4 linked regions of the Struthio camelus genome follow. The protein of the gene in region 1 purifies or fractionates together with the protein of each later gene. This does not show direct contact. Links are inferred from orthologs where the notes say so. Each region holds a gene or a part of one and is shown in the gene's direction. Other genes may lie near its edges.

Region 1 (7,605 bases):
AGGTCCCTTATTTCTGGGCTAGCTGTGCAGTTGATCCAAGCAGATAATAATAGTTCTTCTCACCTCCAAGAAGGTAATAGAGAGTTTCTTTAAAAGCCTGTACTCCACTAGTATGCTTGTAAAAGTTACTTTCCACTCTAGAGAAAAGGCTTTATACAGTTTTACACTCACGGTGTCAAGTACACATTTCTGCCCACTATGTATTGCATGAATTGCACGCCAGAGCTTAGTCAGGGTTAATCAGAAGATGGGTCTTGGAGAAAACGTCTTTGGAAGGTTGGGAGAAAGCTATTCAGATCAGCTGGAACTTGGCAAGAGGAAGCCTTGTCGGCTGTTAGGTGGACTCAGTTTGCTCAAATGTACTAAATTTACTAAATTTAAATCTATTCTGACAAAGACAAGGCTTTAAAGTCTGTCCTCTCTTCCTTCTGCACTCTATTCATTGTCCTCTACATGCTCAGAAAAGATCTTGTTCTCTGACCTCTGAGAGAAGCGGTCCCAACCGCTGTCCAAAGCACGCTGTCTGAAATTGTCGTGTAGGAGGCATCGGGCTTCCTATTTTTCATTACGAGTTGTATTCTCTTAGTTCTTCCATACCTCAAATCACTTGAAGGGACAGACTGAGACAAAGGCTGGTAACCTGCGTGTAATGGGGAATGCATTGATGGGTAGCAGGAAAGGAGACCACAAGAGTCTTTACTTCACTTTCTTGGTTATTGTGAGAGTAATGTTGGGCCCAAGCCCTTTGCTGTACAGAAGGATTTTTGAAGTTTTTATATGCTCTTTCACTTCAAGATGACATTTTCATTTGAACTAGAATGACACACAGAAATTAGTGCAAACTAACAAAGGTGGTCAGAGAGGTGTGAACCGATCCTCTCATTACCTAACTGATTGTTCTGCTACAGTATAATACATTTTGGGGAACTGCCCTCCCTATGAGGATTTAAAAGCAATTTACATGTCAGGACAAGCTCCTTGGAACGGAAAGTTTCTAAGGTAACCAAATGACAGCAATGTGAACCACAAAGTTCACTGCCATTCTTTGAGATATTCCAAAACTCAAGATAAGTCTCACTAGATACATGCATTTTAGGCTGTTTTGAAAATTTAAAAAAAAAAAATCGTTCTTTAGAGCACCACCTATCTGGAATCTCTTATTCTAATTTTCCCAGTTTTGCATACTAACACCAAGACCACCAACAGGACAACAGTTTGCCTATTAAAACCAGGTGCTCCATCAATGGTCTAATCCTGTTGGCCAAAAGACCTCAAATGTTTACCTTTCCCCCAAAGAATAAAAAATCGTTTCAAAACAATCTGAGCATGCTTACAGATCTCAGAGCACTTTGAAATACTTCTTTTTCAAGAAAAAAATCTATTCCGGAGCAAAGGTTTTGAAGAAGGCTGGCTGCAACCTTCTGCCCAAGTAACGTGCACAGCAGAAGTTTTAGAAATCTTTCAAGAACAAGGCTTAAACTAACAATGAGAAAGAAATGCTTTGTTCCAGTAGATGTATCTAAAGAAAATTGCTTGTTTCCAGGGAATGCTAGTAGTATCTGTTCTGCATCAACTCCCTAGATAGACATGATAGACTATTCCTAGGCTCTTCCGAGAGCTGCGTCCAGGATGCTGACACAGGATGGGCCCACGTGCAACAACATTGCAGACTCCTGGAATAGCCCTTTTTATGTCCATATTGCATGCCTACGTTGCCTGGCATCTGACTCCTCTGCTGACTAGTACTGATGCAGGTTGGAAAGGAAGGCAAGAAAAGAATCGGGGCACCCAGCTGAAATATATTCATTCCTGATAAGCCCAATACACTGGCTGATGAAGGTGGGAACTACTCTATGATTTTTGCATTGCCACAAGAACAAGTAAGATTTACCACTGGCATTATGTTTGCTGACTTTCAGACAAAGTGCTTGGAGTTTGTGCGGGACAAGAACAAATAGTGTGGGGAGGAGAAGGCCTCCCTGCAGCAAGGGTAGCCCAGTGTCCAAATAAAATCATCACTGGGCTTTCCTACAAAAGCTAAGTCTGTTACTGCTAGATAGAGGAAATGACATTTTTGATCGAGGTCACAGGTTCCTCTGGATTTTCACAGGTTGCTAAAATAAAGCTAAGAACACGTGAAGAAGGACAAGTGATAACTCAAAATTTGGAGCCAAGCTCCTGATCACAGAAAGACATCACTGTAGATCATTCCCTACCCCTGTCTCCTCTTGGCTAATGAGTGTATCAGAGCTGTACTTTCCAGATCCTGATAGCTGTATCATCAAGTCCCCAGTCTTATTAAGAGATTCACTGGAGTTTAGCTCCTGCTCCTTAGACAGACTGTGGCTGCGTCCCTGAAGAGTAAAAAGTAGAGAGCAAAGCCTGGCTCTTCAGGATGTCCTCAGAGAAGCAATCTCCTTTCACTTCCACCATGCCTAGGAGGATGGGAGGCCCTAGCAAGCCAGCAAAATCCTTGATCAGAGGGTGAAGGACTCTGTGCTGCTGATAAATTCCTAGTAATAGAGAGCTCTGTCTGGCTAACGGAAAACCTCAGGGATAACTATGCGTTTAGCCCCTGAAGACTCCAGTAGATGGAGTATCACAGGCTGAAAGAACGCCTTGCAACGGCAAGGTGCCAAGTGGTTAGCTGGACCTAGTGTCAGATACTTCCCCTTCTGGAGGTTTCCTCCAAGTTGGGTATCTCTCAACCTGATCACGATCAGGTCAACGCTCTTAGTGGTGTGAGAGGGCTTTTAAGCTATGCACCCCTTAAACTTACAAGTGAGCCAATTTGGCATCTCTAGCTATAGCTAAACACCCTCTAGAATGACCAAGGTGTGCAACTGTCCGTAACATACAGGTGCCAGCTCTCCTGTGGCCCTTGATTCTTGTCCCCAGTAGCACACGTGGCTGCATGGTACCCCTGCGCTGATTTGTAAAGGCAGACGGGGCGGGCGGCATTGGCAGCCAGTAGTGGCAGGATGTTGCTCAAAGGTATTCCACAACTCCATCGCTCAGTACAGAGCAGCAATATCGCCATGCGTGAATGGATCACTCTCCCCATTCATTTGGCAGGTCTAGAACAGTTTGAAGATCCAGCTTACAAAACAAACTCCAATTTGAAATTGCTTCCACGGGGAGCAGTGCATTCCATCTGGACACTACTTCAATTAAAAATGGCTTTGAGATCCTCATTTGCATGAAAAGATTGCTATATTTTGTTGCCATGTGGCTTTCTTCAAGCTAGGTCTTTCAGTATCTCCTTGCTATTACGGACACAAATTTTGACTGCTTACCTCACCCTAAGCCCCGATGGAATACATTTCAAGGCAATTTGAGTAATCCAGAATGCTTCGTGAAATCAATTATCACAAAGCACTTTCAACCTTAGACGTTTTAGCAGTCAATTCTCTTAGTGCATGAAAATAAGACTCTAACAGAAATTTCTGAACCCTCAAAAGGTTGGCCAGATTTTGTGATCAGCAATTACGGAGCGATGCACTTTTCATGCATTTCAAGGACCTCGCCTTCAGGAAGCGTTTAGCAAAGCCTGATGGAAAAGCACAGCACCCGCAACTGCTACTCGCTTTAAAAAAACGAAGCTCACCAGAAACGACAAGCAGCACCTACCACAAGGGTCCTAGGCGCTCCGCGGCCCGAGTCGAAAGGGTTTACGCCGAGCACAGCCGTACGGCGCTCTTTACGTGCACGGTCTTTATTACAACTGTTTTCTTTTTTCCAGCTGCATTATTTATGCGTTTAGACAAGCAGCTGACCAACAGGATGCATTTCCTAACCCCTCCAATCCTAAGTTCTATATATGAACATAAATAGATGCATATACATGTATATATATGTATGTATAGGTATATGAATGGTGTGGGGAACATCTTTAGGAGGGCAGAACGGGACGCGCTACGCCTCCCTGAGAAAAGCACAATAGCAATTAAAAGCGAGCCCAGCGCGGGGCCGGGCCGGGCCGGGCCGGGCCGGGGGGTGTTTCACGGAGGGGGGCGCAGCAGGGGCGCCAAGGGCCCTCCGGCCTTGCCGAGGCGGCGCCGCCGCCGCTGGGCCCGGGCGGCGAGGCCGGGGCGGCCCTGGCCCCCTGCGGGCGCCTCCCGCCTCGGGGGGCGCCGAGGGCTCGGGCCGGGCCGGGCCGGGGCCGGGGCCGCCCGCCCTCGCTGCCTGCCGGCGGGGGCGCGGGCGCGGGCGGGGGCGGGGGCGCTGCGGGCCGCCGTTCCCGGCGGGAGGTTGTCATGGTTTCGCGGGTCACATGCGCGCGAGGTTCCCTCGGCGCGGGGAGAGGGGAGGGGGGAGGCGGCGGCGGCGGCGGCGGCGGGGACGGGGGCGGGGAGGTTTCAGTCACGGACGGGGCCGCCGCCGCCTGCTGCCGCCGCGCCGAGTGCGGGGCGAAGCGGAGCGAGACGCTGCGGCCGCCGCCGCCGCCGAGCCGCCCGCCCGCGGCTGCCAGCTGCGCCCTGCCCTCCGCCGCTGCCCCGGGCGGCCGGCCGGCCGGGCGCGCCTCCGCCTCGGCCTCGGGCTGCCGGTGCTGCCCGGCTGGCTGCGGCTCGGCGGCCTCTGCCCGCCCTTCCGCGCTCCCTCCGCCTGCCGCCCGCCGTCCCTGCCCGGGCTGCGGCCCCCGGCCGGCCCCGGCATGAGCATCTCCATCCCGGCGGGGCTGACGGAGCTGCTGCAGGGCTTCACGGTGGAGGTGCTGCGCAGGCAGCCCGCGGACCTGCTGGACTTCGCCCTCCAGTACTTCGGGCGCCTCAAGGAGGAGGCGGCGGCCGAGAAGGAGAAGGAGAAGGAGGCGAGCGGCCGCAAAGGGGACTCGCCCGCGCCGGGCCATGACCGCGCCCGGGGCAGCCTGCCGCCGCGCCGGGCCCCCGCCGACGCCCGCGGCGTCAACTTCGCCGAGGAGCCCATGCAGAGCGACTCGGAGAGCGGCGAGGAGCAGGAGGAGGCGTTCCCGGGTGAGGGGCCGGGGCCGGGGCGCGGGCGGCGGCCGGGCCGGGCCGGGCCGGGCCGGGCGGCGGGGTCTGTCCGGCCGCCGACGCTGGCAGCTCCGCGCCCCGCGCAAGGCGGCGCCGGGGCCGGCGGGGGTGTCGCCCCGGGGGCGCTCCGCTCGTCCGCCGCTGCCAGGAGGCCACCGGGGCGCCAAGGGTGTGGGGGTTGCTTTTTTTGTGGTGGTGGTGGTGGTTGTTCATTAGCCGAGCGCCGCGCTGCCGTTCCCACCTCACGAAACACCTTTCTCTTGGGCGCGTCGCTGCGTCCACGCAGCCCGGTCAAACATTTTCCGTGGCCGCAACGTGTGGTTCGTATAAATCAGCACAGCGGAATCGCAGGAAGCGAAATCTCTTAGGGAGGAACAAAAAGAAAGAAAGAAAAAGTCAGGTGGAAACTGTGCGGGATGGAGAAGGGCCTACGGCGCGGGCGTCGCGGCGAGGGCAGCCCGGCGCGCGCACGCCGCCTCCGCTCCCAGCCGAGGGCAACACCTGTCTGCCGGCAGCCGGCGGCCTTGGTGCGGCCTTGGTGTGCCTGCCCGGGTGAGCGAGCAGCACCGTGTCCATCTACCGGACCAACCCGATTTATGGGACCAGCGGGAGCTGTCCCGCACGGGTGCGTGGCACCCGGTCCTTGTGCCGCCAGCAGGCTCGCGGAGAGGTCCGTCGGTGTAAGGTGCGCCGGAGAAGAGCAAGACGGCGTCAAAGCATCTTTATCGTTAGCTTGAGCAGCTTGAAATTGAAGTATACCTCATCAGGTCATCGAAGGACTGGTCCTCCTCGGTCATGCTGAAGGTGGCTTTGCTCAGCAGAGCACAGAAGCCAGCTGTTTGCTAGATGAGTATCAGTGTCGTTTTTAAAATAATGTCTTACGTGCATTTTATCAGGAAAAAAACCCTGGATGTTTAAGAACTGGGAAAGTTTTCGGGATGCTTTGTGTTACGCTGTAATATAGTCGGCATTCCTTTCGTCTCTTCTTTGCAGCTGTAGCTGGGGGTGTATAATTAATGAGAATTTGAATCCGTCCATCAGGTTCTGCAGATGTACGTGGTGATTTTGAACTCTGACGCTATGTTGTCTATAACACCGGCAAAAATTGGGAAATTATAATAAAAAAGCCTAATATATTCTGAAAGTTTAATTATATTGTGACTCGTAATTTGTGCCGGTTGGAATAATTAATAACTGAAAGTATGAAAATGGAAATATTTTTGAAACCACATGGAAGGTGTATTAATGAGTACATTATAGTAAATTATTAATAAGTGTGTGCCTGTGCACACACACATTGCACGGGAGAGTGTATGTTAAGTGCAAGTTTTACATCTACCTTGAATATCTGTTCTTCAGAAGTAGCACAGCAATGCATCCGCTCAGCCTTTTGTTAATAAGTGGAGGCATAAAGCCTGGTCTTTAAATCATTGTTTAATGGGTTTAAATATCTATTTAAAAGTGTATTTCTTTTCTGCTTTTACTTTCTGTTTTTGTAAGTAGCAATTCTTGAATGCAAGCTGGAGGAAAAAATCTGTTTTTTTTTCTTTTTTTTTTTTGCTTTTGTCTTTGTGAGTAATCAGACTGCTTCAATATAATCAGTCTGTCCTACTGGTGTACTGTTGTCATACAAGAGAGGAAAACAAATTGCGAGAGTTTATAAGCAAAAGTAAATGAAAAAAAAAAATTCCGGCAAGGAGCTTAGACCTGTCTGCAGTACCTTTTTTGTTGAAGCAGAATTCTTGTTAAATCAACTTGACAATATTTCCTAATTTGCTTATTCAAACAGGTCCTTGTTGTTAGGGGCTTGTTGTAATTGCTATTGTCTCCAACTCCTTTTTTTTCCAGTACATGTTTCTGAATTCCTGCAAACACTGCAGCTGAACACTTTGTCCGCATTAGTTTTGTCCTTGAAATATATTTTGTAAGATACATAAGCATTATTCCATTTTAGAAATGATGAGTTGAGGTATAAGCTATGTTAAGAAATTTACCGTACTCAGGATTAAGAGTTGTATGCGAGCCAAGAATTAAACTGTGTTCGGGTCCTAGTCTGTGTCCATTACATCAGTTGCAGAAATCAAGCCACAATTAAGACCGTTACCTTGTGTGGCTTGCAGTTCTTTGCAGTATTGCTGTCGTAATTCTGAATTAGCACCTGTAGTTAATGTGACCTCTGAAGCAACATTGTTCAAGTTCAGAACATTTAGAGTATCACCTTCTGAACACACTGCTTAATTTGGAAATGATTTTGAGATCTTCTAGTTTCTTTAATATTAAGTTGTCCTACACAGGTGTATGAGTTTTAGTCAATCTGCAGGAATAACTCCTGTTAATACTAGTAGGAATTACTTAAATTGGATAGGACTTAGTTACAGTAGCGTACATAAAATTGAGCCCATTTTTAGAAAATTCCTCTAATTTTTTGAAAGTTTGAAATGTGTATAACAACGTATTATGCTGTATCTGTGCAAAACTTGAAGATGCTCACTAAGTTATTTGTCTGCTTTCAAATGCCTATACTTTTCTCCTTACATTAGCATTTAGAATTTAAGGTGTACCTTATTTTGATGGATAAAGACCCACATAATTTGTATCAGTTGTTTTAAAA
Region 2 (7,615 bases), on another chromosome or scaffold:
CTCTTCTGAGTCTGAAGGCAATAATGTGCAAAGGATCACACATTAACCTAGATCTCAGCAGAGGTCAGGTTTGGTTTTCACTGTCCCAGTGACTTGCAGGATGACCTGAGACAACTTAAACCATTGCTTTTGGGTCATTTCCTTGTCTCTAGAGAGAAGCTTGTGATATAGATCATCTTATGAGCAAAGAGGTTTAAGACCTTCAAACATAAAGCACTGCCAGTGAACTGTTATTACTTTACTATGCAGTTGGCAGCAACCTCTCCTACAGAAGAAAGTGTAAATCTATTTCCCAACCAGCTTTTATATTCACGACAACCTGCCATCGTCCAGATGCGCAGTTCATTAGCGATCGTTTAGTTTTATCTGGCCATAAAAGCCCACGTAAAAAACCTGCTGATTGAGCATGCAATTCAAATACATCTTCCGGAGTCCAACAGACAATTCCTAGCGCTTTATCTGCATTGAATGAAACATAATCTTTGCCACTTAGAACACAACAAAGCTAGATTTCTTCATACTTCTCTTGAATTGCTAACACATAAAACAGAAACACAGCCCATTTTCACAGTGAAGTTCTCTTCTGAAACAGTTAGTATATTAACCAAGAGTATACAAATCTGCTTCAAAGCTAATAGGCTCTTTTCCTTCCAAACACACTTCTTCACATCTGTTCATTCTCGCTCTCTCCACTTCAATAGCAATAGTATTTGGTAAAGCTCTCCAAACTGTAGCCATTGCAGAAAGACTGTATTTACTGATGTTTGGGTAAGAACTAATAAGAGACCTGGTTGTGTCTCTCTTCCTCCAATTCCAAAAAAAATCAAGTCAATATTTATATACTCACCGGTGAAATAAAACCCCTCTCCCTGGAGGGGAGGGAAATGAAATGAAGTGATTGAAATGGATTTCACGGAAGGAGATTTTGTTTGCTTGCTTGCTTGTTTTGAGAGCTGGGGAGATTATTTTTTTTTTCTTTTTTGTAATTTAAATGCAATTGTATTGCACAGAGTGCATCAAAGTGACTTCACAGTGGGAGCTTCCATTGAGGACCAAAAGCTCAGGAGCCTTTGCATGCTGCTTGACCCATCGCTGTATTTAACAGAAGCTAGGCTCAGGTACGTAAGGGGCTGGAGTGTCTCCATTCCCACAAAAAGCTGGCTCAGGATGCACCCGGCTCAGCCCTGATTCAGGTCGAACCCTCAGAGCGGAAGCGGTTAACATTCCAGCAAGTTAGATACAGAATAAACAATTTAATCAGCATTGTTCTAGCTCTCCCAAAAGCTCATCCAAAGTCTGTTAAGGGCCAACGGAAAGATTTGCATTGACTTCTCAGGCCTTTAGAACATGCTCTGATTTTAGTAAGACTTTTTGCTTGTATAAACCCATGGCAAACTTCAGCCTTTCTGCTATACTGTGCCTTTGAAAAGAAAAGGGCTATGGATAAGAGATTTGCTTTTTGCCTGTGACAAATTGCCTTGCTGGTCTTCCCCCTCCACCTACAATGAGGCTCTGGGGCTTGTCTGTTTTGTCTGATTCATAAACCCTTTCATTAAAATAATAATCGAGCATTAGGTACCCTGATCCCACCACCAACATGTCTGTTGAAGGTAGTTTCCCTCTGCCAAAGGCAAATCCTACCAAAGCACACACCTGGGCTGACTCTCATACAGCTCTGCAATGCTTGAATTTTCAGTGTGAGCTACTTCCATGGCAGCCAACTGCAGTATTATGTCTGCAGCATGATTAGCATCTCCGCACTGTGCTTAAGGATGGAACAAGAAGCCTTTATTTATAACTTTCCTATCAAAAGCATCTATTGTTCAACCCTACCTAAGAAAGTCACTATTACTGTGGTATTAAATTGTTTTCAGAAAGGACTTTGAAGCCTTTTGCACAAGATAGCTAAAGTTTGTATAGCAAAAAGGGTCACTGGGATGTATTTTACCCTAGGCTGCTGAAAAATCGTTTCCTGGGCTAGCTACTAGAGCTGGCAATGTATCAGCTCTCCTGATGTGGTTTAGGAGCGTTTAAAGGACCAAACTTTTTCTTGACGTAAATTGACGGAGTACCACTGATTGCAGCCAAGCATCCCCCATTCGCCACGTAGAGAACTTGCAGCAGATTTGTAAGTACTTGCAAATAGAAATAAAAACATAAACACTGAATGCTCCATAGATTCCTCTCTGCCCTTAAAAAAAAAAAAGTGGGGAGGGATTGAATATTAGCAAAGTAAATCTGACTTTACATTACAAAGCACATCAGGAAGATAAACACAGTAAGTTTCCTGTTATTTGTTAAATTGTCCCAGTCCAACTATGGCAACTTCCTCCTACTTCTAAATAACATGCGGACAGAGGCTTGCATGAACAGCTTCAAACTAGCGAGCAAAATCCACCAGGCAAAATCCACCGTTTCCACTGCTCAAAGTTACAGCAGAAGAACTGCAATGAACTTCAGTGAGTTCAGATGAATCTTCTATTCATGTAACAGCACTGAGAATTTGGCCCTTACATATTTCAGAAATGTAACCAAGGCAGTAAGTCCTCATTTGACCAAATCAAAATGTTTTAAAGCCTGTTTCCTATCTTCCCAAAGTCTCTGGGAGTGAAGAGGAGCCTTGTCATTGACTAGGGTTAGATCAAGGTCAAGTTTTACACTGCAAAACCAAGAGAGAGATAGTGTTTACTCTCCAATTTCTCAGAAAACCGTCAAATCCCTCTTCATATGGAACATTTCATTTATGCGTCATTTACAAACTTTTCCACTGGCAAACTCACCACACTTAAAGATTTTCCTCATACAAAAAGTATATTTTGTCAATACCATCTCACTTCATATTAAGCCTGAACACCCATCCTTCTTCTCTTATATTGTTCTTCTCTAGGATTTATTGTGAGCTAACATTAAGCTTTTTTTTTTTTTTTTTTGCTTGTTTATACCTAAAAGGCAGCTTTTCATCTCACTCTATTTCTCAGTGTCTCATAGGAAACTCTTCTCCAAATGGCTCTGTCTCCTTTCCCACCAAATCCCAGCTTTACCACACAAGCCGGTCCAAAATTCACGGCAAGACTTGCGTTAATCAGCAGAACAGAATAAGCGAGACTATTTAGTACTTTACATCTTCAAAGACTTGAATACGCAACAACTCTTTGTTAGTGTTTTCCTCGGTGGATGTGCCCCAGGCAGGGAGTGGATACAGTGCTCTCTCTTTAATGCTGATATTGCGCACCTGATAGCCGCGCGGTCCAACGGCTAATGCATCCTCAGTAGGTAACTGATGTGGGTAACGTGGCTCTCATTTCAGCCTTCCCTAAAATAACAAACAGAAAACACCCAAACCAGCCATCCCCATCAAACACACGGCAAACAGGTCACGAGTACAAAAAACGCTTTGATGCACCTACCGTGCCTTTCATCAAAGCATCCTGAAAGCACTTTGCAATTACTAATGTGATCCCTAGTTCATCACTCACCCACACAGTTTTCCCTCATTTACCAGCTGGATATGCAGAAAGCCCCAAAGACTAAAAGGCGCAATTCTGAAAGAGATGCCTGAGCCGTCACAGGTTCCCCAGAAATCCCTGAGCGCTTGCGCATCCCACCCCACCTCGGAAAAAAACAGGCCATTAGTAACTTGTCCCGTCCCAATTACGGTGAGTAGCAAAGCAAGGAAAAGAGCCCAGGACTCCTGCTCTGCAGCCCCACAAGTCCACCGAGCTTCAGCTCAACACGCATTGCACTCGGTAAGTATTGCAAAACACACGCCTGGCCTCGGTACACGGTCAGCAAAGGGACCTTGTGGAGAAAATAAACAGTTTCTCTGTACTCTTCACCCCTTCATCTTGACCTGTTTTTTTTTTTTTCTCTCTCCTGACATGCCATTATTAAACAACAGGAACAAACTAGTTTCTGTGTAAAACCTTCCCCAAAGTAGTTGGAAGATAGCAAGAAATGCCAAGGTTTCTATTTTCCTCCCCCCTCCTTTTTTTTTTTTTTAAGGGGAAATAACACGGAATTAAAATATTTGTAAACAGCACTGATCAGCATTTTATTTTATAACTTTTTTAAAAAAATTTTTATTTTAAATCCAACAAAGACCCCCCTCTCCCCCTAGGAATACTAGGAGGGGACTATGCTGAAAATTATAGATTCCAGAGTTTGCAAGAGAACCACAAAAGCTTAATTATAGTTATTGACATACCAAACACCCACTGAAGGCTTAAGCTTCCCTTGGCCAGAAATAACCACACAAAGCGAAGGTAAAAAAAAAACGACATCAAACCACCTCAGCTAGGGACAGCTTATTAAAGCACCGAAGACATGCCTTGCTTGCCTCCCCGTATCTCAGCCTAAAGGAGATGGTCGGGAGGGAACAGTTGCTGTCATCCCACAGGCAGACTTTCAAGCCGGTTTGTTTAGGGCGGGTTTTATCCCCCATCAGGTAGCTTTGCACAAGTTACCCCTTTCCAAACGCCTCGCTCCAGGACTGTGGCTTTAACAAAGGCCCAGAAGAGCTCCTGACTGCTGAGAGAACCAGCGTTCATCGTGACCGTGCAGTGCATCCTCGCTACTCCCCGACTGCCTGCGTCCCACCCTCCCCAGGGACCGGCAGCAGCGATTGCGGAGGGAGGTGGCTGCAGGAGAGGCTCTGCAGGTAGAGGTGCGACACCCATGGGAATTAGCAAATGTCTGGACTGCTCCAACCCAGCCCTTCCCTGGCCAGGCCTGTTTGCTCTCGGGATAGGGGCTGGCAAGGCCTGAAGGAACGGCGCTTGTGGGCAGCTCGCTGCCCTCTGGGCAGACTCCACGCCGCCGCCAGCTGCAGTCAAATCAAAGCGTGTGTGTATAAAGCGATGCTAAAAGGGTTAGAGAAGGTGGAAGCATCAGCTGGGGTGTTCAGAGGGAACCTATGGGAGGCTAGCGAACATCAGCCCTTCCGGAGGGACCCTAGTCTTAGGTCGCTGCCACGTGGCATCAGCTGAGCATGCTGCTAAGGGGGCCCAGCCTGCTCCACAGCTATCAGCAACTTACGGCCCGTCCTGCTGCGCTTCTCACGAGCAGCCTCACAAAAACTGCAAACACCATCTTGAGACAGCCTCGGAAAGGCAGGGAAGATCCAGATTAGCAAGGCAAACTAGACACAAGCAGCAGTGAGGGCTTGGTCACTGCCAGAGAGAAAGGCTGATTCAGAGCTGGGGAGACATCGCTACTAGAAATGAGCTTGCCATCGAGTATTTTCACTCACTTTCATTTCATCAGCCTGGAAAGCCCTCATCTTTCCTCCCTTGCCTCCCAACCATGGGATGGCATCTGAAGGGATGGAGATGCCTATTCAAGCTGGGCTACGTTTGCCTAAGCCTTACAAGCTCATCACCTTCTACTGCAGTCACGTAGCCATGTTTGTGCAGTGGCTCTCAGTGCTCTTTACAAACAACAGGCTGGACCACAAAGCCCTCACTCAACTTAGAGAGAGTGTATTCATGCAAAAACCCACAAGGAAGCTTCTAGGACCAGCAGGAGTAAATAACTGACCGCGGCAACACGTGTTTCACATTCACGTCAAGTACCTTGCACCTCTCCCATGTGATTGTTGAAGACTGGGGACAAAGGCCAAGGGCCAGACACGCTCCACCCCAGGTGGCGACTATGCTGCACTCAAGTGATGTAGCTACAAGGACAGCAAGTTCAGGTGGACCAAAGTCAGCTCTGGTGCTCTCAGCCCCCAGAAAGTCCCCACACTTATTTTTTCCATTGAGTGACATTGCCCTTGCCCTGTACACTGTACAGCACAGATGTCATCTATGCAGCTTCATCACTGGTCCCTTCCCAACAGCCTGCGGGTTTCGACACCATATCTGTTTCATGCAGCAGTGCTCACATGACAGGCTTTGATGAGAGCTGTTCCCCAGCCAATCCACACAGCAGACAAAAACCTTTTGTAAGAAGGGAGAGGTCTGAATTAACCCTTTTTTGTGGCAAACTTTATGGCTCGTACATCCAGGAAATTTGTCACTTAACAGCAGGGCCCAGTGCCCAGCATCTATCCTTGCTTACATGCTATTTAACTGGTGGCACATCTGTAACCTGAGACACAACCAAGAGGCTGCAGTAAAACTTCTTTAGAAGGGATACAGCCAACGCTGGGGCAAACCAGAGATCTTCCAAGGAGAAGCGTGGTGCCAACAAACACCTAGCTCTGTGGCTATAGCAATACTTGGTACTCTAATTCACAACAGGGATGAAAGAACTCTCCCTAAATCGAGAACAGAGAAAGAAAATAGAATGAAAGTCAAACCTGAATGGACTGGTTATTGAAAACAGCAATACCATACTGATTTGTCTTTCATCTTCTATGCACCAGCTTTAGTCCACTAAATCACTACAGAATTCACTGGCATTATTCCTAATTTTACAGTGATTTGGGAGAAGGGGGGGACAAAGGCAAGCAAACAAAATCTAACTGCCTTCACTGTTTTGTTTTTCTGGTTTTTGTTCAGCCAAACAAAGAGGAGGTTCATGTCCAAGCTGACTGTAGAGCCCACAGAATGCTTTTGCTCAGATGATCTCTTTAAAAACAGTTTGCAAATTTGGCACCCAGCATCTTCAGCAACTACCATTTGCGAGTACTTTCTTATCTCCATCTGGTCACTATAAAAACTTTGGTGACTTTAGTTACTGTTGCTACAGATTAATCAACTTGCTAAGTCCCTCTAAAAGAGCAGGAAGTCCTCCAAAAACTGATCCCTTGGTCATAAAAAGAACAAAGCCAGGAGTAGATTAATCACGATGTTATTTCCAATGCAAAAGTCCAAGCAGAAAAAGTCTCAGTTTCAATAACAAAGCTCACCCATCTACACCAACATGCTTTCGTTCTTGGTGTCAGAGAAGAACACGCTGAGCAGAAATCCAAGTAATACAGCAAGCTGTATGAGAAGAGCATGCTGGTGGAAATAAGCAGCAGAATACAGACTATGTGAACCACAACCAACCAATACTGCCAGGTTTGGCTGCCTTCCCTGTGTCCGCCAGCGTCTAAGATTTCCCACTGCAGTATGAGCCAGGCAGCAGGACTCCCAGGCATCACGTATGTGTAGCACAGGAGGAGGGCAAGGAAGGGGGAGTCTAGGAGTGCAGCCTCAAGCTACTATTGTTTTTAGTCAGGAGTAAAATACCAGGTGGTTGAACACAGGCACGCCAAAGATATTATGAACTGAGCTCACCTAAACCTGACAGACACTAAAGGAAAGGCAAGATCACAGGATGTGAAGGAATCTGGTGATGAACAGACATGGCTATCTCCATATGCCTGGGAGAAGTTTGCAAGCCTGTCTCAGTGATGCAAATTGGGATTGGACAGACTGAAAACAACCACCTGAAAGAAAGGCCAATTTTAACAGTGTCACCTGTCCTAAAGCGCCAAAGCCAGAAGAGCAGCTTTGGGAAGCAGCCTGGACATGATGCTGATGCAACGCCCAAGGACCAGCATTAGTCCTTGCAAAAATATCCTTTAAAAATACAACCTCTAAAAAAATCAGAAGCCAGAAGGCAAAGGAAAGGAACCCCAAATTTATTATCTTTGTCACATCCTGGTGAGTGTGAATTTAGGCTGTCG
Region 3 (7,101 bases), on another chromosome or scaffold:
CTTCGAAAACACAGGAAAAATCAAATGGCTGGGTCCAGAAGAGAGCTATCAGGAAAAGGCCTAACTGGGATTGACTTTTCCAAGCTCTGGTTTACTGACTCAGTTGCCAAAGGCTACTTATGTTTAAGGTATGGCCATAAGACTCCAGGCCACGGTGCAGTGACTACCTTTGCCTTAGCTCTGCTGGGCTCCATTGCCTTTGCTCTAATTTGCTTTCTTTGAAGCTCCTCCACTTGCTGGCTGTGCTTCCCCCGCTCCTTACAGTAGCAGCCATGGAATTTTTTTTTTCCTTTCCTTGGTGGAGAAAACCCTCCAAGGGCAGTTTATTAACTGCTCCCTACCCCTACTAGAGCTCAGTCATTCTCAGAAAGAGGCCTGGAGTGCATTTAGCACAGCGTCGAGCAAGTAAAAGAAAGGGCTTTTCAGTTCTCCTCACAGCAGCTAGCACATGCAATGAGAAGGCAAGGAACAGTTCTGTGCAGTGTGAGAGACCCACCCAACTATCTGTAAACAGACATGACTGAACGTGGGCTGGAGACAGGGCAGAGACAGCAACACTAAGGCAAAGAAGAGGCTGGTTCAGAGCAATACAAAACATACAAAAGCTCCAAGTCTCCAAAATACAAACACAAGGAGGCCACTGAGGTGGCAGGGGCAGGACAACAAAGTGAGGGAAGGAACCTCTTAATTTACCCAGAACATATAGCATCTAACGCCTCAGTGCAGTAGGGCTCAAACAGCAAAAGTATGTGCTGTTGAATATTGACTTACTCACGTGAGACGCAGCTCACCCAAAGGTGAAAAGGGGCCATCACCCCGCTCTGTGCATTCTGTCCCTCCGAAAGCTGCACTGGATCTGTTCTCCAGGTCTTATTCTTCTCTGCTCCTCCGCACAGCCAGGCCCATCCTTGTTTCTAGTTCCTGGTCTCATACAATTCCTGAAAGAGGGAAAATTACTGCTATTCCCTTCATCAAGTACAGTGCCCACATGGCTGCACTACTCCGAGGAACTCCTGTACAGAGACAGGCATGGCGCTCAGAAGTGATACACCCTCTCACCCATGGTAGCTCTCTGCCTTTTGCATGGAGATGAGGGGTCTGTCGTGGCTGTGGGAGTGGGACTCTTCTGCACTGCAGCATTTGGAGCAATGACCCACTTACAGACAGGCGAAACCAAGCTTGGGCTAAGAGAAGGGAACCTGCTGTATCACTCTGACGCTTGGATCACATACCCTGCAAAGCAACTCAGCAAATATGCTTCTGTTGGCTTTAATTTTCCAGTTCTGTCTGAGATGTTAATGGGTATACCCGTGATTTACAACAAAGGCATAGGTAAAAAAAGCAAGAATAAATTAGCCTTGAGGATGCTGACATAACTTATCTGTTCTTTTCTTGGTTTCACTAATCCCTTTTTCCTTGTATGGGGCCAATTTTTCTTACCAGAAACATCACTAAAATTTAACAAGCCACCTAGAACATTTTCCCACTCATCGAAAACTCAGAAACATGTACTGTTTCTGCATGAAAAATGTGACTTATCAGCCACAGAGGCAGTTATTCATTCTATTAGCAGTTTGTTTTATTTGACTTTTAGTTATGACTTCCGTATTACTCAACAGAATTTTATTTTTTCGTTTCACTATAGTAAAGCTTACAGACTTCAACTAAGATAAGCGCTCCACTAGGCTATGCAATCCATGCAGGGTAAGATATCGTCCTTGCCCCAAGAACTTAAAATGTTTACAGTCACTTCTTGTGGCTGACACAGATTGTCTTCGTGACCTTGGATAAATCTCTTAACATCTCAATACCTGAATTGCCTCACTCAGTTAAGGATTGCAGTCACTTGACAGGAATTCTTATACAATCTTCTGAGATTTTCAGATTAAATATATTAAAAGGGCAAAGTCTTAGCGTTGCTGGCTTTTTTTTTTCCACTTCACACGTTATGCATTTTACCATCTGTTAACTGATGTTTCTAATTTATGACTGCTCTAAACAAAAGAAAATGATTTAGGCAAACCAGGAACTTTTCATAGAAAAATACTTATACAAATGAGTAATTTGGGAAGACAATCCCACTCAGACACTATTTTGTGATTTTTTTTTTCTAAGTTACTCATTTACACTGTCAAACGTACTAACTGCCTGCTGCATACACATGTAAATGAACAACTGAGCAGTTTTAATTCCAGTTACTAGTAACCAGTAACTGGTTAGTAAGGCCAATAAAACTACCTTGATATCCGATTGTTAAAGTGTTCACAACAGTAGATTTCCTGCATCATTTACTTAACTTTTATTATAGCATGCTGTTTACAGCTGGGCAATATAAGAACTGAAAGAAGTTATGTAGCATGAAACCTTGGTTACTGGAGAAAGGAGGCTAATTTTGAGCAATTTGTTGCTATCAGACGAAGATGACAAACAGGCTCTCACAGGTACGCAGACTCTAAGGATGACGATTGAGGCTTTCACATACTGCTGCAGCTCCTGCTGGTTATCAGCAGGAATTACTCTGTTTTAATGGCCGAGTCCTCACTTCTTTCTCTGCTGTCCCCTGCTACCTCTTCTTCCCCAAAGCATGCTTGCATGAGCCATCTCTCCCTTGCCTATTTCTTCCCTCTGACTTTGCCACTGAGTATCAAAATGATAAAAAGCTGCTTGAGTCATCCCCTTGGGAAATCCAGAGCCACCTCTGCTACCAAGAAGGCTCCAGTGACGAACCGAAACCAGTTTTCTCTTCTCACAACATAGAAACAAATGCCAAATGGGTGCAAGTAAAGCGGTTTCCCCAGAGTACATCTCAGTGCCCAGATGCAGCAGGTGCCCTCTGGTTTGCAGCAGGAGCAAAAACTTTGCTAGGCTGCATGGAAAAGAGAAGCATCGTAGAAAAAAAACTGATTCCCGTGACTCCTTGCCTTTCCATGCAACTGTGCTGGATTATTTGGAGAGAGGCTTCACCACTCCCAAACTGCTCTTCCCACAAAGACTTGGCATGGAGGCCACGCTCCTCCTGTTCTGGGTGTTAACAGTTTTATTAACACAGAAATTAACAACGCTTCACCATTAAGGTCGGCATGGTGAAGGCATGGCCGCGGCTCAGATTGCTCAGGCCGCACCCTATATCCTTTTCCTCTTCCATACCAGTCCGCAGTGCAAACTCCCAAGCTCCTTAGAGTAACGACCACCACTTCTCGCACTCTGCTCCAAGTGACTTGCCCAGAACTGTCCTGCAAGCAACCCTCAGAGCGAGGGGCAGAACCGGGCCCTGCACACCGCTCCTGGGCGCTTTTCAGCTGCGCTTCCCCTCCCCAAATCCTCCAAGATTCCTTGGGACACAACAGTCATTTACACACCGTATTTCTCTTAGGGATGCAAAATGCTCACGGTGGGATGTAAAAAGCTCTGGGGGGAAATGTAGTTAAGTGTTTAGCAATGAAATGAAAACATAACCCTCATTAAACCCAACGAGCACTACTGCCTCCAAGCAATTACCTCGCTGAACATGGATTTTCATTTGTCAATCCGGTTCAGCCGTGGTAGCAGAGACTCGGCCTGGCATAGCTGCTGCCTTACCCGACGGCTTACTATTTAACACCTCCTCATCAGCTGGGCGCCGGGCAGCACGTGGCTAACACTTTGCCTCCTAGCAGAGATCTGACTACGCGTCTGAACGGCCTGGGGGCCGTGGCCAGCGCCGAGCCCCATGAGGGGACGGTCACAGGCTGCGGCTGTGGGGCTGAGGAGAGCCGCACAGTCCCGGCGGGGGGCAGGGCTGACAAAGGCGCCCGACTCCGCGCTCTCTGAAGGAGGGAAGTCAGCCACCGAAAGCCCGGCGGCAGCGGGAGGCGCAGCAGGTCCTACCCCTCCGCAGGCGCCGCGGGGTGGGGGGGGCGCCGCCATGCCGGCGGCCGCCGAGGCCCTCGCGCGCGTAACGGCCGCTGCGCTGACGGTTGGGGGGGGGAGGGGACAGAGGGGCGTGCGCAGGCGCGCGGGCGGGTCTCGCGCGGCGAGGAGCTCTCGCGAGAGTGGGCGGGGCGGGGCGCGCGGGGCCGGGCGGGGCGGGGCCGGGCGGGGCGGGGCGGGGCGGGCGCCGGTGCAGGTCGGAGGCGCCAGTGCGCGGCGGGGCCCGGCCGGGCGGCACGTGGGGACGGCGCGGCCCGCGGCGGGCGGGGGGCGGGCGGGAGCGGGACTGGCGCCGGGCACCGGGCACCGGCGCGGGGGAGGGGGAGCGCCGCGCCGCACGCACTGTAAGTACCGCACCCCCCCCCCCCCCCCCCGTCCTCAGCCCCCTCCCTGGGCCTGTCAGCCGCCAGGCCGCCCCGGCGGGAGGCCTCCGCGGCGCGGCGCGGGCCTGGCGGCCGCTCCCTCAGCCAGGTCGGGGCGGAGCGGAGCGGGCCGGGCCGGGCCGGGCGGCGCGGGGCTCCCGCCGGCAGCCAGGCCGCGCCGGTGACCGCGGCGGGCCAAGGTCAGGGGCGGCGCGCTCGGGGCCGGCCGGCCCGCGGGTCACCCCCGGCGGCGGCGGCGGCTCGGAGAGGAAAGCAGGGGGCGAGCGGAGCGCCGCAGGCTGGGTGCTACCGGTGGGGATGTCTCGCGTTGTCTGCGGTGCGATAAAACTCACTCATAGTCGGGTAAGGCCCCGTCAAGCTGGTATTGACAAACTTCTCGTGTATTGGCCTTTTTTGTTTTTTTGGTCTTTATGGCAGTGTATAGCGTGGTGTGTAGTCAAGGCTGTAGGAATTAAATTGCATTTCTCCTCAGGAAGTAATATCCTACTGTCCTTGCCCTTCTGGAAGAAGTTTTGTTGTTTTGCTCTTTATTTTTTCCTTGAGGGAAACAAGTCTAAGCTACTTGTGTGCCGGGGTTGGGCAGCTTGGTCTGGGTCTGGCTTTCTAAGGTCTTTGTGGCAACCTGGTAAAGCATAATATGAAGCTGCAGCTGTGGCAGGGCAGAATGAGTAGGCATCTCGCTAAGGGCATCCTTTTCATGGCAGGTGATCTGCAGTGATAGGAAACAGCAACTGAAGCTGCACGCTGCCACGATCCACATGGCAAGGAAAAGTAAGGGGCCATCGGATGGAAGTAATTCTGACTTTCTGCGTTTCTAGGCTCGTGTGCTGCCTTCGTAAGGTTGGCTGTTGTGCCTACACCTGCTGGGTGTTATCAGAATTGCTGTGGACTTTGTCTCAGGTGAAAGGAAGTGGCTTGTTGCTGGGGAAAGTGGTAGCAGGAGAAGGTAACTTTACTTTTCTCCTGTTTGCTTTGTGCCTGTGAATGATCTACTGAGTTACAGCCGTATGTCTGGGTGCAGTATAGCCAAGGAAGAGCACGTGACTTGCTGGAGTGCAGCACAACTGCTTGTAAGGGGTGTGTGACTTTTCCTCGGTAGCACGTGGATTGGAGCTGTCAGAGCAAGGGAGCTGAGTGGCATTGGCTCCTCTGCCAATGGGTCACTGTGTGACCCTGCTCAGATCACTTAACCTCCTCATTCTTTAATGAGCTACCTGCGTAATGGGTGAAATACTCTGTAGCCTTCAGCTGACCTAATGTGCCTTTCATCCAGTAATCTTAATGTACATATGATGTAGCCTGAAAAAAAGGATAGTGCAGTTTCACTATATGTGTCTTGATTACACAGTTTTATTCTTGATTAATTGGCTTACATGTAAGTGCTCACCTAATGCTGAAGAAAATTAAAACTCTTTAGTAAGTTAAAAGGAGCAAGAAACCTGTAGAACTCAAGTTATGCTGTAAGCTTACTAGAACCCACCTTTTCATTACATAACTTTCTGTACCACTCACCTGACAGTCCCACAGCTTCTGTTTCCAGTGCTCCTTTGAGCTCTCCAAGGACTTCTAGAAGCTCTCATGAGACAGCAAGGCTTGGGGGAGTTGGGCACGCCAACCTCACTGTGGTGGTACAGTACCTTGCCCAATGGGGCCAATGATTGTTTGCTCTGCCAGACGTGAAACAAAATCCTGGAAGAGGCTGTCCAAGGATATCATTAGACTCTGGAGGAGCTGCATGAGAGGGCTGTAGGAACCCAGGTTTTGTGTGTTCTTGTAGCTGCTGCTTATTTAGGTGTGCTCTCTGTAGTCGCACCAAGTTTCGATACCTGGCCGAGGATCCATGTTCCATCTTAAAGCTACCTGGAGGTGCTTTGGGATAGCTACGTTGAAAGTCTGTCTCTATCCTCTTTCATCAACTGCCTAGAAAGCCTGGGCTTTAACCTAGGCGTTCCCCAAAGCCTGAAGTTAGACAACAGGAATTCCCCTTGCCAGCCACAGTGTGAGATGAAGGCACCTGTAGTTCAGATCCATCATGCTACATAGGTTCCTAATTCCTGCAGGTCCTCATAGGAGTTAACTATGAGAGGAGTCTGGTTGTTGAGGATTGCAGCCAAAGCTGTTCAGAGCCAGAAGCAGGTGACTTGCTACACTGAGACTCTTGTGCTCATTTCAAAAATGTTGCAGGCTGTCTTTTGGGATATTTGAAACAAGTCTAGTTTTTGCAGTAGTAGAGTTATCTGAAGAGCGTAATGCTTTTAAAGCAACATACCCTACTTATCTATAGCGCTCATCTTCCATGTGCGCTTAACTAATGTGAGCAATTTATTTAAGGTATTTCTAATGTCCATGGAGACTGTAATAAAATCAGGCTTGGTATCCCCAGGTGCCCTCCGCAACATCTAGAAGTAATTAAAAAACATGAATTACTTTCAGTTATTTAATGTTTGAGATCTAATGGCTGGCCTTCTTTAAACTGTGATTTCTAACTACAGTGCTCGTGTGGAACTCTTCACGCAAATGGCCTGGTTAAACTTTGTGAAGTGTAACTTCAGGCAGCCAGTTTGAAATACTTGTAAGGAGCTGTTTTATTCAGCAGGTGCTTAATATTTCCTGGAAGTTAAGGCTATTGAGTTTGCTTTTCGCAGGGATCCCAGAAGGTGATAGGTTTGCATGTAACTCATTGCTTTGCAGTCTGTGTTCAGCTGCTCTACTTATTAATTGTCCCCTGCAGGAGTTCTGTGCAACTTTGCTGCTGCATTTTATACACTAGCTGGAAGCTGACTATTAATTTATGGGATCTGTACATCAC
Region 4 (6,974 bases), about 170 Mb from region 1:
GGAAAACTGCCATATAATCACAGATTAGTGCTTCATCTCCTTTTATAGAACTGGCATTGAGTATGTTAGAGAGATGACAAACAAGTCAGTCTGAGCTAGACATTCAACAAGTTGCGCTAAGCCAGTTACACTGAAAATATCAAGCTTATTAGACAGGTGCAGATAGTCACTCACGATAGTACCAGTGACACAATAATATTTCTGCTAGAAAAGATTCTAAAGGTACAGCTCAATATGTTTTTGATACAGAAAGAGCAGAAAACACTGCAAGTGTCTACATGACAAAACCGCAGCAATGTCCAGGGGTAAATCACAATCTATCTTGCATTCATTTCTGTCATGTTGCAGATCAAATTATAACTTGTTAGAAATATTCTGTTACCTTAAAAGAGAAGTATACAACTTATAGAATCAGAAAATATCCCTTTAAATAGTTTATGAACTTTCTAATAGCATTCCATCCTTAGAAACTCATGAGGGCAGTATTCCATATAACCATTTAACACCTACAGCATATGGTTACAAAAGATAAAAAGAAAGATGTTGAAACTTGGAAGTATATCCAGAAAAGTTTTATGTATTCCTCACCTGAAAAAGAAAATGGGACAAAAACCAACCCAAAACATTAAGAGAAGCCCCACTGGATCAGCAAAAAGGCTCCATCTAACTCACTATTCCATCTCTGATTAGTGCTAAAAGAGATATTATTTGTGGTGAGCATATTCCTTGCTATTGGCATGGAATTTGCCTGCCCCGAAGAATTTAGTAGCATCCTCAACCCTGGACATTTCACTCCGCACTCCCTGCTTTGGATGAAGATGAATAAAACTGGTCCCTGCCCTGATTCCTGAGGGATCCTACTACCAACTCTTCTGCATCCTGAAAAGTTACCATTAAGTCCAGCTTGTGTTTACTCACTTTCATAGGGCCTGGTAACGGATGTTGTTGCTAGGCAAGGTCCATATTCTCCTACTAGCAGTGAAGTTTTACACACCCGCTTTTGGCAAACAACCAAACTTTCCTGACAATACAACCATGGCAGCCCCTGGACAACCCGATATATCCCCATCAGGTATACCCCTCCTGAAACATGGAAATGCTCCTGTGGTAACTAATGAGACAAATAAAAACTATGTTCCATTATATCAGTCCCCTGGATAAGTCTGATTCCTGTCAAATCTATGTTAGATATGTATGCTTTGGGTTTATCTACCTATACTTGTGTATTGAGTAGGAAAATGCATTAGTTGAAAAAAGTGCTTCATTATTCTTCACCTTTCATTTCAGTATTTTCACTATAAGGGAATGCTGCTCTTTCGATCATATATTCCACTAGATATCTGCTTTATTAATGACCCTCAACTTTTGAATTTGCTGTCTGTGAAACTCCCCCCTGTTCCACCTGCCCACCCCAAAGTTTATGAAAAATGTAAGACTAACGTGTGCTCTACAGGACACAGATTACCAGAGCGCAGAAACTGACACTCTATTTCTTCATAATTAATATGCATTTTAAGAAGTGTTGACTCACCAGCTAATATTCCTATACATTTACACAGGCAGTATTTAAATCAGTTGTAAAAAAACAACCGCTATTCTAAAGCTATTTCCATTTTTAATATTGTATATAAAAACACTTTTCTGACAAACAATGGTGTGCTGTGGGTTATGTTTCATAGTTTCCGGATGAGGTTAAATCTTGATTTTTTTTCAAGGCTTTGGCAGAGAACCATAGGAAATCATTATTCTGAATAGTCTAAGGGGAATTATAGACCAAAGGGAAGAATGGGCTTGAATTTATTTTTAAAGCATTCTTTCTCATGTTTATGTTGTTTCCAGATCTATTTTGTTTTGGAACACTTTTACTTACAGTAAGTCTTGATATATGAAAAACAAAAACAAAACCCTTCTACAGAATTTTTAGTTTTTATGAAAACTGAAAGGTACCTTGAACCAAGGAGTTGGTCAACAAAGGCACCAAAGACCTGCAAAACTGTTACAATTTCCTTACTTAAAGGACAGTGAATTTATAAAATAGCATGGTCTCAACGAGCACTGAAATGATGACACACCTGAGTTAAATTTAATTCAATTACTCATTTACTTTCTCCCCATCCCATAGGGATCTGTAGTCCCTGGGAATAAGAGAAACCTTTTGTTCGACCCACTTTACTAGCGTTTTAGAACCAGTGATCCTTTGATTCTTTTATCTATCTAGCCTACATGGTTTGCACGCTTTGCCCCATAGCTTATTAGTTTTTAGGACAAATTAAAATTAAGTTTCTCTGTTGATAATATGAATAAGTGAATACGCATCCTGACTTCTGAAGTGGCTAAAATGATTATGAAGCCCAGAAAGAGCAAATTATCAAGGACTAAACAGAAGTAAAAGTTAAGGCTTAAGTAAAAACAGAAGCCAGGAATCGCGTGGAAAAAGTTATGGACATCCAATAGCAAACAGGGTTCGTTTGTTTGTGGCAAGAACACACTCTCACTGTCTTTTTATAGGGCTCAGGTAGTAGTGGAAGAAGAGATAAACACAACTTAGTAGGAAGTCAGCATAGTCTCTCTGTCTTTGTCTCTTTCTGTGAAGCAGATGGGTCACACTTTGAAATCCTTAGCTCATAAAAGCTACAAGGCTAGCATCTGTTTTCTTTCCTTTTCTGCCAGTATATAAAGTTTTGGATTCGTGCTAAAAACAGCTGTGGGGGCTCTTTCTTTTCTGACCTGGAAAAGTTGTTGCAATCCCATGCCACCTAGCATGAGTTTCTAGTTACAGTGGAATTCTGGTTCTGTTGTTCCCCTTCCTTAGTTTCACTCTTACATGCTGAGCCTCAGAAAGACTTGTCTGGATTTTGGGAGTGTCTTTTTTTGAGGGAAGGACAGAACTGTTAGCCTACAGCGGTAGACTATCCACAGCTGACGGGTAGTGCAGAGAATCCACTGCAGTCAACAGACTTTCTGGTTTGTTTCCTCCTTTGCTGTTGCCATGTTAGTGTCTGACAGAGCTGGTGCTGTAATGGAGCAATGTTGGGAAGCTGCATGAGCTTTTATTAGATCACTGCTTCTATGCAGACAGAAAGAAATGCAATGCTCCAACAGCACGCACTGTTAAATACTCATCACTATCATAGCTCAACTTGAAAATAGATTGCGTATTGATGGCGTATCTTTTCACGTCTAAATTTTTGAGGAACCCGGTAACACTGAGTTTAAAAAGGGGATGGGAAAGAAAGAAATGCTCGGGGGCTTCAGGCAGAGTTTGAGAGTCTGCTCTCTGTGCCTTGTGTGACTAAAACCAGATTTAGCCTCTAACCCATCTGCCCTGCTGAGCCAGCCAGCCAGGTGGCAAGCCAAGCCTTGCGTGAGAGGTTTTTGCATGCAACCAGGGGGCAACTCTTAAGTCCAGACTGACTAGGCAGGAAAGACCCACCTGGCAGGTCTCCCGAATGCCTTGGAGGACAGAGTTTGGCATCCTGCTTCTCACGCAACTTTTCAAGGGCTGTGCAAAGGCTGCAGCTGCCACGCCAGGTGCTGAGGGAAGGGCAGTAGCCTCACACCATGCCATGCCATGCTTCTTGCTGCAGGGAAGACACTGGTCGTGACTGTACCGTCACTTCTGTGGATGGGACGAAGCAGCACTGGCCACGGAGGCTCTTCGGCTGGCAGCAGCAGCACCAGCCACCTCGCAGCATCCCCCTCAGAGAAGGCGCCTGTCGAGGCCTGGAGGGGCAGACGGGACAGGTGGCCTGGGCCAGACACGAGGTGCGTTTTGTTCCTAACTTTGCCAGGAGAAGGCGCGTAAAACGCAGCTCCTAAGTAGAGAAGATGGAACACACACCCGTTACCGGGCGAGTAACGCCTATAACGGGCGGGGGCGGCGCGCGCACCCCCACGCTGAGGGGCGGGGCGGGGCGCTGGCGAGCGCATCCTCCTCCTCCTCCTCCTTCCCAGGATTCCTTCGAATTCCCGCTTTGGCGGCCAATGAGGACGCGGCGGGAGCCGCCACGTGACGCCCTCCCTCCTGCGGGGGGGGGGGCGCGCGCGAGACTGCGGTGGGTGCTGGGTGGGGGGCGGAGAATCGTCGCGAGAGCGGCACGCACGCGCGCCGAGAGCGCGGAGGGGGGGCGGGGGGAGGCGGCGGCGGGGGGCTGCGGCGGTAACGGGGGCGGGCGGGCGGGCGGGCGACGACGGGGCCGAGCTGGGTGTTCGCTCTGTTGCTTTAGGAGGCGAAATGGCTGCGGGCGCCGGATGCTGAGGAGGCAGTCAGGTACGGGGCGCCCGCTCTTCTTCCCCCCTGCCCTCTTCCCTCCCCCACCGCCCCCCTTTTGGCGGCGGGGGGCGAGGCGGCCGTTGCTTCCGTCCGTGCGCGAGGCTGGGGGAGCCGTTGAGGGCGGGGCGGCGGCGGCGGCGGGGCAGCGCTGGCTCCCGGCCTGCCGGGCGGCGGGGGCTCGTCCCCACAGGTGGCTCCCGGCGGGGCAGGGAGGTGAGGATGCTCTGCCCCTTCTCCGCGCTCCCCTCCCCCCGCACCTGCGGGGAGCAGAGCCGGGGGTGCGCCGCTGCTGGCTCCTCCCCGGCGGGCTCTGCCTGGCCTCGGGCATGGCGCTTCTTCACCGGCCCGGCGCTTCCCTGCGCCCGCGGTGGGAGCAGCGCGCCTACCTGAGGGGAGCGCAGCGCCCTGGGCCGCGGTGGCGGCGGGGCGGTGTTGGCGACCCCCCTCCGTGTGGGCTGCGCAGCGGGGCGCGGCGGGCTGCGCCGGAGGCCTGCCGGCCGGGGAAGTCCGCTAGCCCGCTCGGCGGAGGCCGTCTCGGCTGCCTAGTGGCTTGTTTCGTGGTTGATGCACACGGGTTCAATAAGTTCACCTCGTCCTCGGCGTTTAGCATTTTAAAAGTGGCTTTTCTTTTTCCCCTTCCCCATCCTTCTCCCAATTCCTTTCCTTGCTGAAGAGAGGGGGAGGGAGTGTTGTGCGTTCGCTTTCTTCGCTCTTCTGTGCAGCTCTCTCTATGTCTAATGAAGTTACTTCTTTCTGTAGGTTTCTGTGGTTTTCCCTAATATCTATTTAAAAAAAAAAAAGGTTATGAACTGCGGCTGTAGATCCTGTGCAATAAGATTCGCATTGAAGCCTTGAGATATTATTGCAGTGCAAATAAATCACTATGAAATAGGGTGAAAAATAAGTTTTATTTTGTCTGGGAAAGATCAATAGTAATAAAATCAATGGTAGCACAGTGCACTTAAGTTGTCCATATTAGAGTTGGAAAGACAGTCTTACTTGGGTTGAAAGTTTATTTCATAATTATACAGTTAGTCTTTAGTCTTGTGAGAGATACTGTTAGTATTAATTCTTGAGAAATTACCTATTTATAAATAGTGCTGGTCCCATTTGTCCAGGCAAATTCCTTGGTCTTCATCCATGAGCAGGCAAGGTGACTTTTTGAGACTTAGTAATGAAATTGTGCTGTCTTTTCTGATAAATGATAATATTTTTTTTTATCCTTTGTAGATTCTTTAAAATATATTGACAGTTGGAAGAGTATAGCAATGGAAAGTCTTGCACAGTATGGAAAAATAATAAAAATAAATTAGATTATTCCCTCTTCCTGTTAATCATTTGGTATGTTACAGTATTAAAAAGACCCTCCTAAACAGGGTATTCTCTGGCAAAGTGCTTCTCCAGGGGAAATAAGATTGCTTGAAAAATGTAATGCTACTATTGAAATGCTGTTACTTACACAATCATTTTAAAAAAAGAAAGTTTAGCTGTGTTGTGTTACACAACAGAATAAAGTGCAAAAACATGAAGTTAATTGCATAACCCCCAAAGTCTAGACTAATGGGTGTTTTTGGTATGTTAGGTAATATTTTTCTTAAAGGCTATATTTGAGAATTCACCCCGCCTCCCAAAAAGTTTCTTATGTTTTAACAGGTGTTCTTTATGCTTTAAAAGGTTTTCTGGTGTTCTAACAGTTGAGAGGTCTGCTTGCTTAGATGATATTTAATTTGATTTTTTTTTTCCCTGTAGTGGCTTAAAAATGTTTCCTTTAGGTGAACAAAAGCAAATATCCCTTTTGTTTAAAGTCCTCCTTGTGTAGTAGGGAGGAAAAGTGAAAAACAGTAAAAGGTTTTTTGAAGGGTGAAGGAAAGGGAATGATTCTATGGTTCTTTAGTGTTGCTACAGTGGCATTCAACTGATTAGTGCTATTTTTATGGCTCTGATGCCATCTGTGTTGCTGATATGCAATTAGAAAGTAAATAAAAATCATTTTAATATTGAGTCAACTTGCACAGGGAAAAGATGAGTACTTGCTGTTTACTATAGTGAAAGAGTTTATTTTTCAAGTTTTGGAGAAGATACAGCGTGAGAAATGTTAATATTTTCTATAACATTCTATGGTGTAGTTATTTTATGATAAAATGTGAAATGTTTATCATTATACTGTAGCAGTATTAAAAGAGACAATTTTCTGTGGTAGTTGCTTATCCAACTTTTTTAAAAATAACAAAGAGGTTCAATTCAGGGTAGATGGAAAACTGCAAATTTTCCAGATTTTTCAGCCATATATTCTGGAACAAATGGCTGCCCTTTTTTTTTTTTTTTTTTTTTGAAATGATTGCCTGTTTTAATAATTGAATGTTGAAAATCTTTTTTACAAAAAGAAGGCTAAAGACAGTGATGCAGTATGCTGGCAATACCACTGTAAGAGTGGAATCAGTGAACCAAAAGGGAATGGAGGTCTTTTTATAAAGAAAATATTTGAGCCAAATCTTCAGGTAGATCTTAGTGTACAATTGATGAACAACAGTGCTCTATTTTTAGACCTTATGAGCATAGTAACAAGCATACTTTTAATTGGAATGTGTTCTGAAGTATTTCAAAAGATGCAGTTAATGAATTGAGGCACATGTAGTTCTGACCAAAAAACAAAGTCATTTAGACTTTAATTTATGTTTTACTTAATGCTGGAAAAATATTT

What was found.
Region 2: the proteins of PRKAR2B (region 1) and CDK5RAP2 purify together in Homo sapiens (affinity purification with mass spectrometry; 3 studies listed by BioGRID and IntAct, counting the BioPlex papers as one, with this or other methods). This does not show direct contact. The link is inferred for Struthio camelus from reciprocal best matches to the Homo sapiens genes PRKAR2B and CDK5RAP2.
Region 3: the proteins of PRKAR2B (region 1) and AKAP1 purify together in Homo sapiens (affinity purification with mass spectrometry; 3 studies listed by BioGRID and IntAct, counting the BioPlex papers as one, with this or other methods). This does not show direct contact. The link is inferred for Struthio camelus from reciprocal best matches to the Homo sapiens genes PRKAR2B and AKAP1.
Region 4: the proteins of PRKAR2B (region 1) and AKAP11 purify together in Homo sapiens (affinity purification with mass spectrometry; 3 studies listed by BioGRID and IntAct, counting the BioPlex papers as one, with this or other methods). This does not show direct contact. The link is inferred for Struthio camelus from reciprocal best matches to the Homo sapiens genes PRKAR2B and AKAP11.

What each region holds. Positions count from the first base shown.
Region 1 is NC_090942.1:16,003,419-16,011,023, forward strand, and holds the start of PRKAR2B (cAMP-dependent protein kinase type II-beta regulatory subunit), read left to right. Parts: upstream 1-4,585; 5' UTR 4,586-4,654; coding exon 4,655-4,973; intron 4,974-7,605. UniProt on the Homo sapiens protein: Regulatory subunit of the cAMP-dependent protein kinases involved in cAMP signaling in cells. Type II regulatory chains mediate membrane association by binding to anchoring proteins, including the MAP2 kinase.
Region 2 is NC_090961.1:7,999,392-8,007,006, forward strand, and holds the start of CDK5RAP2 (CDK5 regulatory subunit-associated protein 2), read left to right. Parts: upstream 1-4,614; 5' UTR 4,615-4,620; intron 4,621-7,615. UniProt on the Homo sapiens protein: Potential regulator of CDK5 activity via its interaction with CDK5R1. Negative regulator of centriole disengagement (licensing) which maintains centriole engagement and cohesion. Involved in regulation of mitotic spindle orientation.
Region 3 is NC_090957.1:20,970,747-20,977,847, reverse strand, and holds the start of AKAP1 (A-kinase anchor protein 1, mitochondrial), read left to right. Parts: upstream 1-4,086; 5' UTR 4,087-4,105; intron 4,106-4,176; exon of another isoform or gene 4,177-4,253; intron 4,254-4,506; exon of another isoform or gene 4,507-4,634; intron 4,635-7,101.
Region 4 is NC_090942.1:189,553,130-189,560,103, forward strand, and holds the start of AKAP11 (A-kinase anchor protein 11), read left to right. Parts: upstream 1-3,971; 5' UTR 3,972-4,055; intron 4,056-4,126; exon of another isoform or gene 4,127-4,270; intron 4,271-6,974. UniProt on the Homo sapiens protein: Binds to type II regulatory subunits of protein kinase A and anchors/targets them.